2 linked regions of the Struthio camelus genome follow. The protein of the gene in region 2 purifies or fractionates together with the protein of the main gene of each other region. This does not show direct contact. Links are inferred from orthologs where the notes say so. Each region holds a gene or a part of one and is shown on either strand. Other genes may lie near its edges.

Region 1 (7,451 bases), on a different chromosome or scaffold from region 2:
TGTACCATTGCAGCAAAGCTGGTGGCATTTTGGGCTGGGTTAACAAGAGCACAAGCAGCAGGGCGAGGGGAGAGATCCTATCCCTCCTGCTCAGCGCTTGAGACCATCTAGAGCGCTCATCCAGTTTGGGCTCCCCAAGACAAGGACAGTGACATACTGGAGCAAGTCCAGTGGAGCTACCAAGGTGGTTGGGGCTGAAGCACAGGATGTACAAAGACAGGCCAATAGAGACAGGTTTGTTCAGCCTGGGGGAGAAAAGGCTCGGGGCAGATGCTATTGCTGTCTACAACCAGCAGACAGGGGCAGGCTCTTCTCAGAGGTTCCCGGGGACAAGGGGCAATGAACACATGTCAGAACATGAGAAATTCCAACCAGACATAAGGAAAACAAGTTGCCAGGAAGGTGGTCAAACACTGGAAGAGGGCCCAGAGAAGAAGAGGCATCACCATCCTTCGTTCAGAACTCAACTGAACACAGCCCCAAGCATCCTGCTCTAACTGGATGGCTTTTAGTAGGTGGTTGGACTAGAGATTTCTAGAGGTCTCTTCCCACCTACATGATTTTATGGGGAGCACAGTCCAGGTTTTGACACACAAAATACTAGAGATCACATTCAGTGCAAGACTAATGCCTGTAACCTTAAATACCAAACAACAATTCCCAGGAAACAATTCCCTTTGCAAGTCACACCAGGAACTGAACTGTAAACTCCTACAGCACATTTTGCCCTTCATCTTTCTACTTCTCAGCATTTCTAACCCCACATAATGCTATACACACACACACAACCAACTTGTAGCAACCCAAGAAACAAAGCTGGGACAGCTAAGATGCACATCTTATCCCTTCACGACACCAAGTGCAACCAGCAAAAAAGTATAAATGTGACAACAAACGTGACATTTTTCAGAGTACAAAGTAAGGGTAGGCCAGAAAAGTGGAAAGAATTGAAAGTAGTTGTTGATGGAGAGTAGCCAGACAGGATGGCTTGGCCACCTTCACTATATTTTCCCCTTGTTTACTTTACCCTGCTTTTACAGAACTCCAAAAGAATGGAGTACTTTGAAAGGAGGGACCCCCCCCCACCAAAATATCTTCCCTTAGATCCTATGGTTCAAGGAACAAGGAAGTTCCACAGAACAGCTTTTATGAAGGAAAATGGCTGAACACAAATTCATGCCAGACCACCCTCAGTGTTTATATTCCATAAAATTCAATCCCAAACCCTGTTGCCTCTCCTTTCTCTTCACGTGAGTTTAAACAAAGGACAATCAGACAGGAGCGCAAGGCTCTGAACAGAAGACTAATGGGAAAGCATACAATAAAACAGCATGAATGGAAGGGAAGGCCAAGATCAGCAGGACTTGCTTCATGCAACTGCCCTAGTCTACCAGTAGTCTCAGCCTATCGTTAGGCTTGCTCTTATCCCAGCAACTCCCTGTACGTCCCCACCCTTACAACCTCACATAACCCTTGTCTAAACAGTCATCCGACCCTTCGTTCCACCCCAACCCTAACTCTGTTTCCCCATGGTCTCTGGTCTTGCTCTCATAGGTTGCTCCAGAAATCCACCCCTCCTGCCCATGCCCTCATCCCAGATCTGCCCTCTACTCCTCTCTCTCCAAGCCCCCCGACTCCCCCCCGCACAGCTCATACACAGAGCAGGCCCCTACTTTCCTCAGCCTCATAAAGCTCGGCAGGGCTCTTCTCCATCCCCAACCCTCCCAAGATGGCTCCTCACCTCTGCCCCACACCCTGTACCTTGCACAATGCCAAACACACCATGTCGTATCCGCCCCCACCTCACACAGGAACTCCAAGCCCCATTGCCCACACAAAGCCTCCCCAAACCGCCCCCACAACAGCCCTTTGCCCCACTTACTCCCACCTAAAACCCCCTCACCCTCCATAGCCCTCTTCCTTACAGCGCTCCTTGTGTGCGTCCCACACACCCACACCCCGCGGACCCGATCCCCCCCTCCCAGCACCCCAGTCCTGTCCCCTTCCCAAACCCCCAGCCTCCAACCCAAATCCACCCTCGCCCCACACATCCTCTTCCAGCAGCCCTGCGCCCACCTGCCTCCTCCTCAGCCTCTCCCCACCCCAGAGCCACCCACACCCCACAGGCACCAGCCTTCCCACCCACCTAACCTCTCCCCAGCCTGCTCCAGCCCCAAAACCCACACCCCAAACCTACCTCGCGCCCCCACCCCACCGAGAAGGTCCCTGCCTCGTGCCTCAACAGCCTCCCTCCCCATGCAACTCCTTCCAAAGCTGCCCCCCACCCCACCCCAAGACCACCACCTACCCTATCTCCAGGCTCCCCCCCACCCCACACCCCGTCCCCACGCTCCCCCCACCCCAAGACCACCACCTACCCTATCTCCAGGCTCCCCCCCACCCCACACCCCGTCCCCACGCTCCCCCCACCCCAAGACCACCACCTACCCTATCTCCAGGCTCCCCCCCACCCCACACCCCGTCCCCACGCTCCCCCCACCCCAAGACCACCACCTACCCTATCTCCAGGCTCCCCCCCACCCCAACCCACCCCACACCCCGCCCCAAGACCACCCCATACCCCACGTTGCCCTCCACCCCACACGCACCCCGCACTCCTGCCCACCCCAGCGGGCCCCACAGCCCACCCCCCGCACCCGCCCCACGGCGCCCCGCGCCCCCAGCGCGCCCCACGCCCGCCGGGCCGGGCCTGCCCCGCCGCCGCGGCCCCTGACGCGCCGCTGGCACGCGGGGAGGCGCGGCCGCGCGGGGCCGGGGCCCGGCGGGGCGCTTACCTCCGACCCGGTACATGTTGGCGGCCATGCCCGGGACGGGGCCGGGTGCGGGACGCGGGCCGCTCCCGTCGCCGCCGCCGCCGCCTCCAGGTGCCGGATCCGCTGGAAAATGGAGGCTGGAGCGGCCGGGCGGGGGAGGGGGAGCGAGGGAATTAAAGGGGCCGCGCCGGCTGCCGCCCGGCCGCCGAGGGGAGGGCGAGCGGGCGGGCGGCGGAGGGCGGGGCGGCGGCGGCGCGGGCACGGCGAGGGCCGGGGCGGCGGCGGCGGCGGCGGCGGGCGGGGGGGGAAGGAGCGGGCCCCGCCGCCCAGCCCGCACCATGTGACGGCGGCGAGCGCCGCGCCCGCCCGCCCGCCGGCGGCGGCGGCACCACCAGAGCCCGGGCCGGCCTCCTCCGGGCGGCGGGGCCTGCGGCGGGGCCTGCCCGCAGCCCCTGGCACCGGCCCCCGCGCACCGCCTGTGCCCACGCACCGCCTGGCCTCACAGCCCTCTGCTTCCTGTACTCAGGCACGCCGCCTGTCCTCACAGCCCCCTGCGCACACACCCGGCCTGTACCCTCACACTCCGCCTGTCCTCACAGCCCTCTGTGCACACACCCTGCCTGTACCCTCACACTCCGCCTGTCCTCACAGCCCTCTGTGCACACACCCTGCCTGTACCCTCACGCTCTGCCTGTCCTCACAGCCCTCTGTGCACACACCCTGCCTGTACCCTCACACTCCGCCTGTCCTCAGCACTCCGCACACACCCTGCCTGTACCCTCGCACTCCGCCTGTCCTCACAGCCCTCTGTGCACACACCCTGCCTGTGCCCTCACACTCCGCCTGTCCTCACAGCCCTCTGCACACACCCTGCCTGTACCCTCACACTCCGCCTGTCCTCACAGCCCCCTGCGCACACATCCGGCCTGTACCCTCACACTCCGCCTGTCCTCAGCACTCCGCACACACCCTGCCTGTACCCTCGCACTCCGCCTGTCCTCACAGCCCTCTGTGCACACACCCTGCCTGTGCCCTCACACTCCGCCTGTCCTCACAGCCCTCTGCGCACACATCCGGCCTGTACCCTCACACTCCGCCTGTCCTCAGCACTCCGCACACACCCTGCCTGTACCCTCACACTCCGCCTGTCCTCACAGCCCTCTGCACACACACACTGCCTGTACCCTCACGCTCCGCCTGTCCTCACAGCCCTCTGTGCACACAGCCTGCCTGTACCCTCACACTCCGCCTGTCCTCACAGCCCTCTGTGCACACACCCAGCCTGTACCCTCACACTCCGCCTGTCCTCACAGCCCTCTGTGCACACAGCCTGCCTGTACCCTCACACTCCGCCTGTCCTCACAGCCCTCTGTGCACACACACTGCCTGTACCCTCGCACCCTGCCTGTCCTCACAGCCCTCTGTGCACACAGCCTGCCTGTACCCTCACACTCCATCTGTCCTCACAGCCCTCTGTGCACACACCCTGCCTGTGCCCTCACACTCCACCTGTCCTCACAGCCCTCTGTACACACAGCCCACCTGTACCCTCACACAACTGCCTGTACAGCAGCCAGCTCTCCTGACACACACACACCCCTCCTGTACTCAAACACACCTCTCCTCACAGCCCTCCTCACACACAGCCCTCCCACACACACAGCCCTTCTCCACGTGCGCTGCCTGTGCTCACACACACAGCCCTCCTCACACCCGCACACACAGCTGCCCTGGCACAGGCAGTGTGGCCCCTCCCAGGGGGCATCACTGCACAACCCCTCCTCACACACACCACGTCCCCCCACCTGTACCCCTGTTCTTGACACCCCATGCAGCTGCACACCTTGATGCACCACGCGTTTGGGAACACCCCGTAACCGGTACCCCGACTGCCTGGCTGGGGGCGCCCCGCGTCCCACACCTCTCGCGGTGGCACCTCGGCCTGCTGCTGGGGAAATTATTCATCAGCCAAAAAATACGTGTAATAAAACTCTCCGCAGCCGCGGAAGAAGCAGTTAGCCAAAGCCGCACGTTTCACCAGGGCTGAGCAGGGCCAACCACCCGCGCTCTCAACCCCGGTTGTCGTGACATCCTCAAGGAGTCCCATAAGACTGCCCAAAGTTGTCACACCTGCCAAAATACGTGTATTTAAGAGAGAATGATTTGTTGGCTTAAATTCTTTTTTATATGTTAAAAAAAAAACCCCAGTGACCGCAGTAGGGCCATTCGGATTTGTTCTGCTTTCATATTTCCCACACAGGCAAGGAGCGCTGCTGAGCGAGGAGAGCGTTTCTGGGGCTGAAACCGGTCAGCTAAGGGTTAGTCCAGCACGCCGGGGGCCGCCCGTGCCCGCGCCGTGTTCCTGCCTTTCCCGAGCTCCCCAGCAGAGCCGAGCATGAGCGACTTGGCCTCTGGGGACACTACGGTACCCGCGGGACACGTCTGCCCGCACGCCAGGCGCGAGGCCTGGTCCTCCCCAGGCTGTTTCTGCAACCACTCTGCAGAGCGGAAAATAATTCAGTAGGACACAGAAAAATTATCCAGAATAAATATTTACAAATCGCATCATGGGGCACTTGGTAGTTGCACACGAAGAAGTGGCCGCTCACGTGGTGTTGACTGCTCTTTCCAGACACTAAATTGTTTTTTAAACGATAGCAACAAAAACATGTCAGAACTTCCCTGCTGTTACTCTTCCACGTTGAGCAATAGCTGTGGTCGCCACTGGGATGTTATGCAATTGGAAAGGAGGGGACGTGGCTCCAGCAGCCACAGCCTGGAAAGGCATTGGGTTTTGCAACGCCCTGTCTCCCGCCACCAAAATCCCAGTCCGGTACGTGCCACCAGCGCTCCTCCTGTAGCAAGCTTGGTCCTTCGAGAAGGTTTTCTGTCTGTTGTGACAGGGAAGCTCTTGCACTGGATCCCTGTCGGCCCAGCCCGGAGAGGGCACAGCCACCAAGAAAAGCCGAGACCTGCAGAAGATGCCAGCCTGTCCAAGATGGCCCCACAGAAATCAGCTCTCCCCAGCACGCGTGGGCATGAGGAGAACTTTCTAGGTGCATTGGTCTAGACCAATGGACTAGGCGGTCCCCTGATGCACCCTCATCCCAAACCAACCTCTCTGCCCCTGCTCTGCTCGCCACCCCTCTCTGCTGCTACCCCCCTGCTGCTCCCTGCCCCAGGACAGCTCTCCAGGGCACGGTAGCAGCTGGAATTTTCCTGCTGAGCTTTCTGTCCCCCGTCCCCCCCCGAGCACCTCAGTGACAAGGGACAGGGACTGAAAGGTCAGCCCTTTGGAAGAGAGGGCAACGAGGCCAACGTCGAGGCAGGTGGGCCACCACGCACCTGGCTCTGCGCTGCTGCTTGCGTGGCACACCGACATTTTTGTGGGATCCCTTTGGACTTCCATAGGTTTAGGTGGCCAAAATCCATCCTGCTCCTTCAAATGTGTTTGTCCGGGTTGGTTGGACTCACGACGCTCTCCTGTCCCTGGAAGGGAAAGCTCGTTGTCCCCCACTGCATCGAAGTCTGGCACAGCTGAGCAGCGCTACATTACAGCCGTCCATGGCTACCCTAGCGTGACTTTCCCGCTTGGAAAGCTTCAGCTTGCCTTCCTGGCCACATGCTGCGTCTTCCTTAAACCACTTCCACAGCGGCCTTGGGAAACATTTGCATTTCAGCCACGCTGCAGGTTTGCCTAGGATAGAGGTCTGCTTTCCCCCACCTCCAGAGGGGGAGTTTTCCTTCTGCGGTTGGGAGGGCGGCTGTGCCCCCAGAGCGGTGCCGGTACCCCTTGCTGTAGCGCGCAGAGCTATAGCTCCTTCACCAGGATGCACAATCGGAAACTGGACACAGCTCCAGCTGCACTGGCAAAGCTGAATCACCGCCGCCTCCCCCCTTCCTTACCCGCCACCCTACAACCAGCCACGCTGGCACTAACACAGGCTATTTCTAGAAACGCATTGCCTGCTGCCGTCACAACCCTCTCCTGCCCCGAACCGCCGGGACACAGGCTGTCCCAACTGGGTGTAAGCAGGGAGGATTGACGGGGAAGAGAGAAAACTCAAGTGGAGAGGGAAAGGGAAATATCTGCCAGTTCAAGCTCAGAGGCAGTGGCTGGGACGTGCCAACGCCTTGCAGGCCGCCGTGCAGCGAGCTGCGGGAGCCGGGCACGACGAGGTGGGCCCAGCCTGCCAGAGAGAGGTCAGGCTGAGCCTCCTCCGCGTGGCTGGGCCCTTGCTGCAGGTTTACAGCTGAACCTGTGCAAAAAATACATAGCCAAAATACAGCCTGGACCACTTGCCTCTCCCCCAGCTGCCCTACGGTGCTCCCCCTCTCTGGCCAGCGCTCGGGCCCTCCTGATGGCTTGCGTTGCTGCCTGTGTACCGGCGAGTCCCAGATTTGTCCTTTCCCTGGCTATGTACCTGCCTGGGGCCACCCCATCCCTGCTCGGTGCCGTTTGGGCAAACGACCACTGGGACGCTGCTGGGAGACTCTTGTGTCCCCTCCCCCAGCAAAGGAAGGGATGCAGGATGGCTGCAAGCCACAGAGGCAAATTTGGCTAGCCAGCCAGCCAGTACGGAGAAGCTGAGGCATCCATCAAGAGCTGCCTCGGGAGCAGCCTGGCCCCTGCCAGAACCCTCCCTGAAGCCCCCTGCTCCATCGCCAGCCGCCCTG
Region 2 (7,287 bases):
CCATAGGAGGAGCAGCAGTAAAAGCAGGGATATGACAGTCCAACATTTGCAGACAGGCTTGCCTAAGACTGTTTTTCCCTTGGTGGTTTGCTCCAGTCCTTCTTTCCTAATGCTTTACCATGTGTGTCTGTGGCCCTCTTCTGTTTTCCCCAGCTTGTCTTTTCCTATGTAATCTCTCTCCTCCCCAGAAAGTCCCAGAAGAACAAAATTAACGTGTTTTGGTGCCAGTGGACTATTTACTGCTTACGAGGCATGGTTCTTCCCCATAGTGAATCTAGCTTGTCTATTTAGATCCTAAATTCTGCTAGATGCGGTCTCTACGCTACTCAGTGTTTATACGGTGCCTAATACAAAAAAAGCCAACAACAAAATACCCCCCCTCCATGTTGGCTGGCCCTTTAACACCCCCCCCCCCACACACACACACAAAAGGAAATCATGCAACCAGTTTGAATGTATTTGCCTAGTGATTTTTAAATTGGGTTTACTTACCCCACGAAAATGACTAGTGCTTTCTTCTTCCCTGAATTTACTCCAATTCTGAATTAACTCATCTTATTTAACTGAAGCATAAAATAAAGGAGTCAGGTTGGTCATTCTTAGCTACTTCAGCATGGTCAAGCAGGTCTCTGGTTGATTTCTACAGCTCTGCAAATAGCATTAATAAGTGTAATGATACAACTACAGAAAAGTTTAAACTGCAGGTTAAGCTTTTTTGTTTCATTTATTTAACAGAGAAAATATCTATGAAAACAAGTAAAAAAGGAAACAACAGCTTTCTTGGCTAAGTTAATTTGTTTAAAGGAGAGGACAATGGAAATGACCCACTAGGAGCCAAAAAAAACTGAAGCAACCTTCAAATTAATTAATGAACTACCAGTACTCATTAATGTATTCTAGAAGAACCTACTCTGCTCTACCAGAAAAAGGGATGAGGGGGAAAGGCTGTTGCCATGACAGTGACATAATTTAGAAATACTGATGAGAAGATGCCCATGTATAACGCAGAAGTTGTGGAATCAAAGAGGTAAAATACTTGAGACTTTAAACCTGGAACTTAGAGCTTAAATAATATAGATACAGAATTATGAACCAGGCAGGAAAGTAGATAACCAACAAGTAAGTGGGTTGTCTTTTGGCAGGCCCACCCAGTTTTGTCAGTTTTCAAATCGTAAATATAACTTCTGAAAAGACACCTGAGAAAAGTAAGTAAATGTAAGCAACAGAAGTATGGCATTTCACTGACCTCTTTATATGTATTTATATAGTGCGTTAAACAATAGAGTTTACTTACTTGCCAAAGACAGAGCTCAGCAATCTCAAGTCTTCTTCAAGACGCGCATCATACACACATTGGAACGAAAGGGTCATTTCACTTCATTACCTTAACATGATGTTGCCCTCAACTGCCAGAGGAGAAAAACAGAACTTGAACAGAGGGTTCCACAGGGTTCTAACAGGTGAAAAGGTGGTCTGAGACTTCACTTGAGCGCCTTTTTTTTTCCTCTTGCCTCCCAGACACAATGTTTTTAACTCCAAAGTAGGTTCAAGACTTTTGTCAATTCAAATAATCAGTTTAGACAACTGTTAGCTCCTCTTGTGCACAGAGTATATCTATATTAGAAACTTAAGTTAGTAAATGTACAAAGGCAGAAGTCAGTAGATATCTCTAGGAGCAGGTACTTGAACTCAAATACTCGTTTAATATTACTGTAAATTATCATATCTGACTGCCTCATTGTATCTCATTGTCTAAATCAGTTTTATACCTAGCAAATATGCCTCAAGATTCATTTTTCTGAAAAAATATTACTAGATTAATTACAAATCTTACTTAGGTCATGTATTAAAATTGAGTTTCTTGTAAGAAAACATGCATCGATGCAAGTGGGGAATCGGTAATAAAAGTTATCTGCTCCTAAATTTCTTTAGTTTTGTTTCAAAATAAAAAGTCAAACAACATTGCTTGTTTGGAACTTGAGCAAATATATGAGAGCTGAAGTTTATGCTGAGACTATCTACAAAGCTATAAACATAGAACGTAAAAATATAAAAATCCAAATAAAATGAATAAAAAAATCCATAAAAATATAGAGCCCTATAGCTTTTTTCTTCTAGAAAGTCATGTTCCCAGTTCATAAAAATACAGACTAGCTTGCTCACCGATATGGGACAAAAACGGTGCAAATTATATTAAAGGGGTATATTCTGGGTTGCAAAACCACATTCCAGGCTTGTGTTTCTTGGTACTGCAAATTCCCATTTCTATTTGGCATTATTTGCCCCTATCTCTAATATGTTTCCAGAAGAAGGGAAAAAAATTTTGAATCATAGTTACAATTTCAATTGGGGATACTCTTTTTAGCTTAAGAAAAAAGAAAAATAGTAATTATAATAAACAATTAAGTCTTGCTATTTTATCATTTCCTTTTCATCAAGAAACCAATAATGGTTTGTAAATGATTTACTGCAAGTATTTTTATTTAAGAATCCCTCTTTTTGGCTGAGGTAAAGCATATGCATGGCCGTTGCCTCACCAAACGTCCGTATTGTACAAGCGCTCTGTAGCAATGCTTAAATTCACACATAAAATGCAGCTTCTGAATACGTTACCTTGAAACTCAAAATGAGGGTAGAAACAGGAGCATGAGTATTGTCAAACTGACTAACTAGGAGAAAGCATAACAGAAAGGAAATTCTGTGGCACATAGAAACCGCTTCAGTGAGCCTAAAACATTTAAAAATCAACAGGTAGCAAAACTACCTTCAAAACGGAACTGATTTTTTGGTCCTATTTAGCAGCTGGCTCCAGATGAATCATCCCTTCACTGGAATCAGCAGACGCTATGCTCCCCACAGCAGGGGAGGCATCTGCGTGCAAGATGGAAGCGAAGTTCTTTTTTCCCCTTTCAACCTTCTCCTCTGTGATGCCATCACCCCCTCCGGCCTTCCCCTGCCTCGGTCACAGTTTTGGTCAACCGGTCTGCTTTCCCCCTTGAATTCCAGCTAGAGCCTGCAGGTGGCCAAATCCTCACATCTCTAGGGCCTCAAAGCACCTTTTAGCCCCTCCCCCTCCATTTCAATGGAAATTATAAAAAAGGAGGGTAAGGTGGGGATTTCCCAACAGCTTTTCCGTTTTTGCCTAGCGGTGGTGAGCGACCACTGCCCGCTCGGAGGCGGAGAGCGGGGCGAGGAGCCGCTAGCCGGCTCTGAGGGCGGCGCCCGCCACCTGCGCAGGCGGCGCTCCTCGGGCCTGTGAGGGGAGCTGGCCGCCCGACCTGTCTCGCTCCCCGCGGGCCCTGCGGCGGCAAAGCCGCCCTGTCGTCCCCGGGGCTGTGGCGAGCCCAGCCCCGCCCCACGGAGACCGGCTCGAGCCGGGCCAAACCGGACTTGCCCGCTCCCCACAGCCGCCGCCACCTGCAGAGACGGCGAAGGCGCGCCCCGAACGCCAGCTGAGCCAAGCCCCGCCCACCGACCACTATCTGTGGGGGGGGCCTCCTGAGCAAGCCCCACCCATCCGCACATGGGACTGGATGAATCCCGCGTCACTCATGTCGGACCCCCGACTCCAGTCGTGAGTGCCCGACTGCCGCTGAAGTACCGCCCCCCTGGAAACCGCTCCTCCCGGCCGCCTCGCGACTGGCTGCTAGGGCTGCTAGTTAGAGGTCGTCTTCAGCTTGATTGGCTGGCCAAGGGTGGGAGGCGGGCCCTGGGAGCAGCGGCGTTTACTGGGCGGGAGGTGAAAGTGGCTGCCGCGGGGCGGGGGTGGGGAGGTGCTGCTCCCCTCGGCGGGGCCGCCGGGGCCCTGGGCGCCGTCCACCGCCATGGGGCTCCGCCGGAAAGCCAGGAGCCCGGCAATGCTGAGCCACGAGTTCGTCATCCAGAACCATGCAGACGCCGTGTCCTGCCTGGCGGTGGGCCTCCTGCTGGGGCTAATGTTCGAGGTACCGGAGCAGGGTGAGGGGCCCGGTGGGCGCCGAGCCGCGCAGGGACGCGAGGCGACAGCGCGGCGCTCCGGCTTACCTCCGCGGAGCTCCGCCCCGTACATCCCCGCCGTTCGCCTCCGCGCCGCCGCTGCGCAGCTCTGCCCTCTCCCCTCTTCCCTGCCGGGCTGTGCCCCGGTGCCTCTTTGCCCGGAGGCCTGTTGGCTGCCTGGCACCCTGCCCGCGCCCCCCTCCGCGTCTCGACAGGAGCTTCGGCTTTGCTCGCTCCCGCTTTGCTGCTCGCTCTTCGTTTGTTTGGTTTTCTTTTTTTTTCGTCCAGCTTTCCTTCATCTCTGCATCTGTTGCACGCCTCGCAGCCTCCCGTAAATTCCCTTTTACTCAGTTCCGTTCCCTTGAATAAAAAAGCTCCTGAGACCCCTTTGCTTAGAGCAAATTCGTGTGTCTCTTGGTCGTGTGTGAGAGTTATTTACTTTTTTTTTTTTTTTCCCCCTGTTCAGACGTCCACGTGGTGAAGCATGTAGGAGCACTGTTGCAAAGAGGGCTTCAGGCAGCCACTGATGTTTTAAGCAGGCTTAAACCAAATGGTAGCTAAAAACTGCTTAGGCGCCCTTTGCACCGCTGCTCCCTCTGTTGCTGAGTCAGCTCGGTAGTGACGGATGACCTGAAGAAAAACGCAAGATTTCACAATCTCAGACTAGTTTCTGAATTTCTCTTTCCCTTTGCATTTGAAAGTTACCGTACAGTTTATTTCTATATGCAAGCAGCTTATTAGTTTCTTGGGTTGTGGCTGTTCTCTTTTAGACATCTTTTCCCTACCTTTGGGACAAAACTGTTGTGTGTTGCCGTGTGAGTCTATTAGGCTGGTGTCGAGTGTGTGGTAGGGCTTTGTAAATTAATAGATAACTTAAATACTTTCCTGAAACATTTTAACATCAGTTGGCTGAGATGTAAAATCAGGTTATTTTAAAAATGCAAATGCTTTTAGATTCTCAGAGAAGATACTTCCCTGCAGATGTCTTTTTTATTTTTATCTTGACCCACTTCTGAAACTGTTAAGGATACTGTGCAGGAATAGAGTGGAGAAAGGAGTCAGCAACAGTCAGACAATTTCCTTCTAAATGTTGGACAAATCCAGTGTTGATGTGTAATAAATTATGTCTATGATATGAAAGTTAATATGTGAAATGCAGAACTGATTTAAAAAAAAAATAACTAGGCCCTTGGGAGCTGAGGTGAAAAAGGCTTTTTAGTTAGCTTTTAAGGAGGAGAGTAAATGCTTGCACCTGGGATAAAACATTCATTTTAGGATTCATTCGCATATGTAGAACTTCTTATGTATCTTGTATATGTTACTTTTTAATGAGGTTGCCTTGTGTGTCTTTGCTGTTCTAAAAAAAAAAAAAGTGTGTTTTCTGGAATTCAGTCTCTAAATTCCATTTGTCTTAGCTCAGACTTTGTATGAACACAGGAGTTGTGCTTCTGTAAGTAGCTGGTAAGTCTACTGGTATTTGGAGGTACTGTGCAGCTCCCCCAGCGTATTTTTGCTCTGGTGGTGAAGCTTACCTCTTTTATAGGAAGAAGAGTAAGCCAATATTAGTTAAACCCAAGCATAATTAGCAGAATATCTCATTTCTACTCAGAATAAATCTGAAAGTTTAAAATTTTGCAGACTAGATTCCAGTGTAGCTTTTGATTATTTTCTTTTTATTGTGTTTGTTTGACTAGACTTGTGTGCTTTTTATAGTATAACTTAAACGTTCTGCATGTCCGTTTTTGATGCAAAAATTATCTGTAGATTGGGACAGCATTCACTTCTTATGCAGAGGAACGATGGTTCTATGTAACAGGTGATAAACGGTTTTGTTGCCATAAGTATAATATTAAAAAAATAAATTCTGTACAGCCTTTCATTCTATTGACAAATTTTTTTTGGTGCTAGACCTCTGTCTCATTCACCGCAGAAAAGCACACAGTAGTTACTGAATGAAACCTATATTTCATTGTTCACCATGTAGGCTTTGTACCATATTTATTATGTGTAATACAAACTCTGACAACCAAACAAAACTACTGATGTTTTTGAGTATTTTTTGTGACGTTTATCAAGACACTATGTTGAGTGCTTCATAAGTGTTACTGAACATGCCTACACAGCTGTTATCCCCATTGCCTTCTGGTCTTGATTTCCTCTCTATATTAAAGTGAAATTATTTTTAGGTTTTGAGTTTTGGGGCACTGAATGACTACTATTTTTTTTTTTTTTAAATCAATGTTTTTCAGAGCATTTTGTGCTTGCTGTGATTTCAGCTGCAGCTGTCAGTGGCAGGTTTCCAGATCCAACTTGTGGTACCTTAGATTGTACACTTACGAACTAAAGAATGTACAAATGAAACTTTTTACAGCTGACTACCTCTTTAATGATTTACTCAGGGCTGTGTAGTGACATCAGAGTAAATACAGGTTTTCTTTTCTAGGTGGCATTCAATTGCCTATATCCATGAGGCCATCCAAAAAACAATAGGTATGTTAGAGTTAGAAATTAGCGTTAGTATGTAATAAATTAAATTATAAGAATTTCTTTAAAGGAAATTCTTATGCATGGTTGTTTTTCCACCTTAATTGTGCTTTTTTATACCTTAACTTTGCTAATTATTATGAAGTCTTTAGAAGTTTGTAATGAGATCCACTCTGATTATAACATACTGAGAAGGGGCTGTTAAATTTAGTACATAACTGCTATTTTCTTTCTTCTTCCTTCCCTGAGAATCTTTATACAGCAGCCTTTGTGTGTCTAGTCCCAGCGCTTTTCTTGATGAGAGAGTGGACTTTGTCTTTGAAAGAAACTGCACTTTCATTGTGCACGGTTCTTTTTAAGCCACTAGTGCAATCTCAGAAAAATTTCGTGTGACGTCCTTCTAAAACAATTTCCGTTGTTGCTTGCGTTCTGTGGTAGGGTGGCCACAGATACCGCTTAATGGAGCTCCCGTACTTCCAGCAGAGTGGAACATTTGTGGTATGTTATCGGCTTAACAGACAACCAGAAAAAGTAATAGCTAATGTGATGGGCTTTAGCAAGGTTACCTGCCACCTTCTTCTCCCAAAGTGCGTGAAAAGTAGCTTATCCTCACAAAAGCTACTGTCCTAATATATCTTCAGGAGATAATTGAGTATGATTTCAGTCCCCTTTCAGAATGAAAGGAGGCTGCCGTGAACTCAGAGAGCAACACTTTTTTTTTTTTCTTTTCTTCCAGAAAGAATATTTTTCTCCAGACTTTGAAGGGCAGCCCTGTGGTTACAAACCATAAATTGAAAAATTGCCTTTCACTGCCTTTTAGCTGGACCA

What was found.
Region 1: the proteins of ZMYND8 (region 2) and MTA1 purify together in Homo sapiens (affinity purification with mass spectrometry; 3 studies listed by BioGRID and IntAct, with this or other methods). This does not show direct contact. The link is inferred for Struthio camelus from reciprocal best matches to the Homo sapiens genes ZMYND8 and MTA1.

What each region holds. Positions count from the first base shown.
Region 1 is NC_090949.1:9,500,989-9,508,439, reverse strand, and holds the start of MTA1 (metastasis-associated protein MTA1), read right to left. Parts: upstream 3,004-7,451; 5' UTR 2,824-3,003; coding exon 2,796-2,823; intron 1-2,795. UniProt on the Homo sapiens protein: Transcriptional coregulator which can act as both a transcriptional corepressor and coactivator. Acts as a component of the histone deacetylase NuRD complex which participates in the remodeling of chromatin.
Region 2 is NC_090959.1:8,662,500-8,669,786, forward strand, and holds the start of ZMYND8 (MYND-type zinc finger-containing chromatin reader ZMYND8), read right to left. Parts: upstream 3,016-7,287; 5' UTR 2,765-3,015; intron 2,661-2,764; exon of another isoform or gene 2,614-2,660; intron 1,407-2,613; 5' UTR 1,295-1,406; intron 649-1,294; 5' UTR 493-648; intron 1-492. Other genes in the region: translocating chain-associated membrane protein 1-like 1, read left to right, coding at 3,825-3,944. UniProt on the Homo sapiens protein: Chromatin reader that recognizes dual histone modifications such as histone H3.1 dimethylated at 'Lys-36' and histone H4 acetylated at 'Lys-16' (H3.1K36me2-H4K16ac) and histone H3 methylated at 'Lys-4' and histone H4 acetylated at 'Lys-14' (H3K4me1-H3K14ac).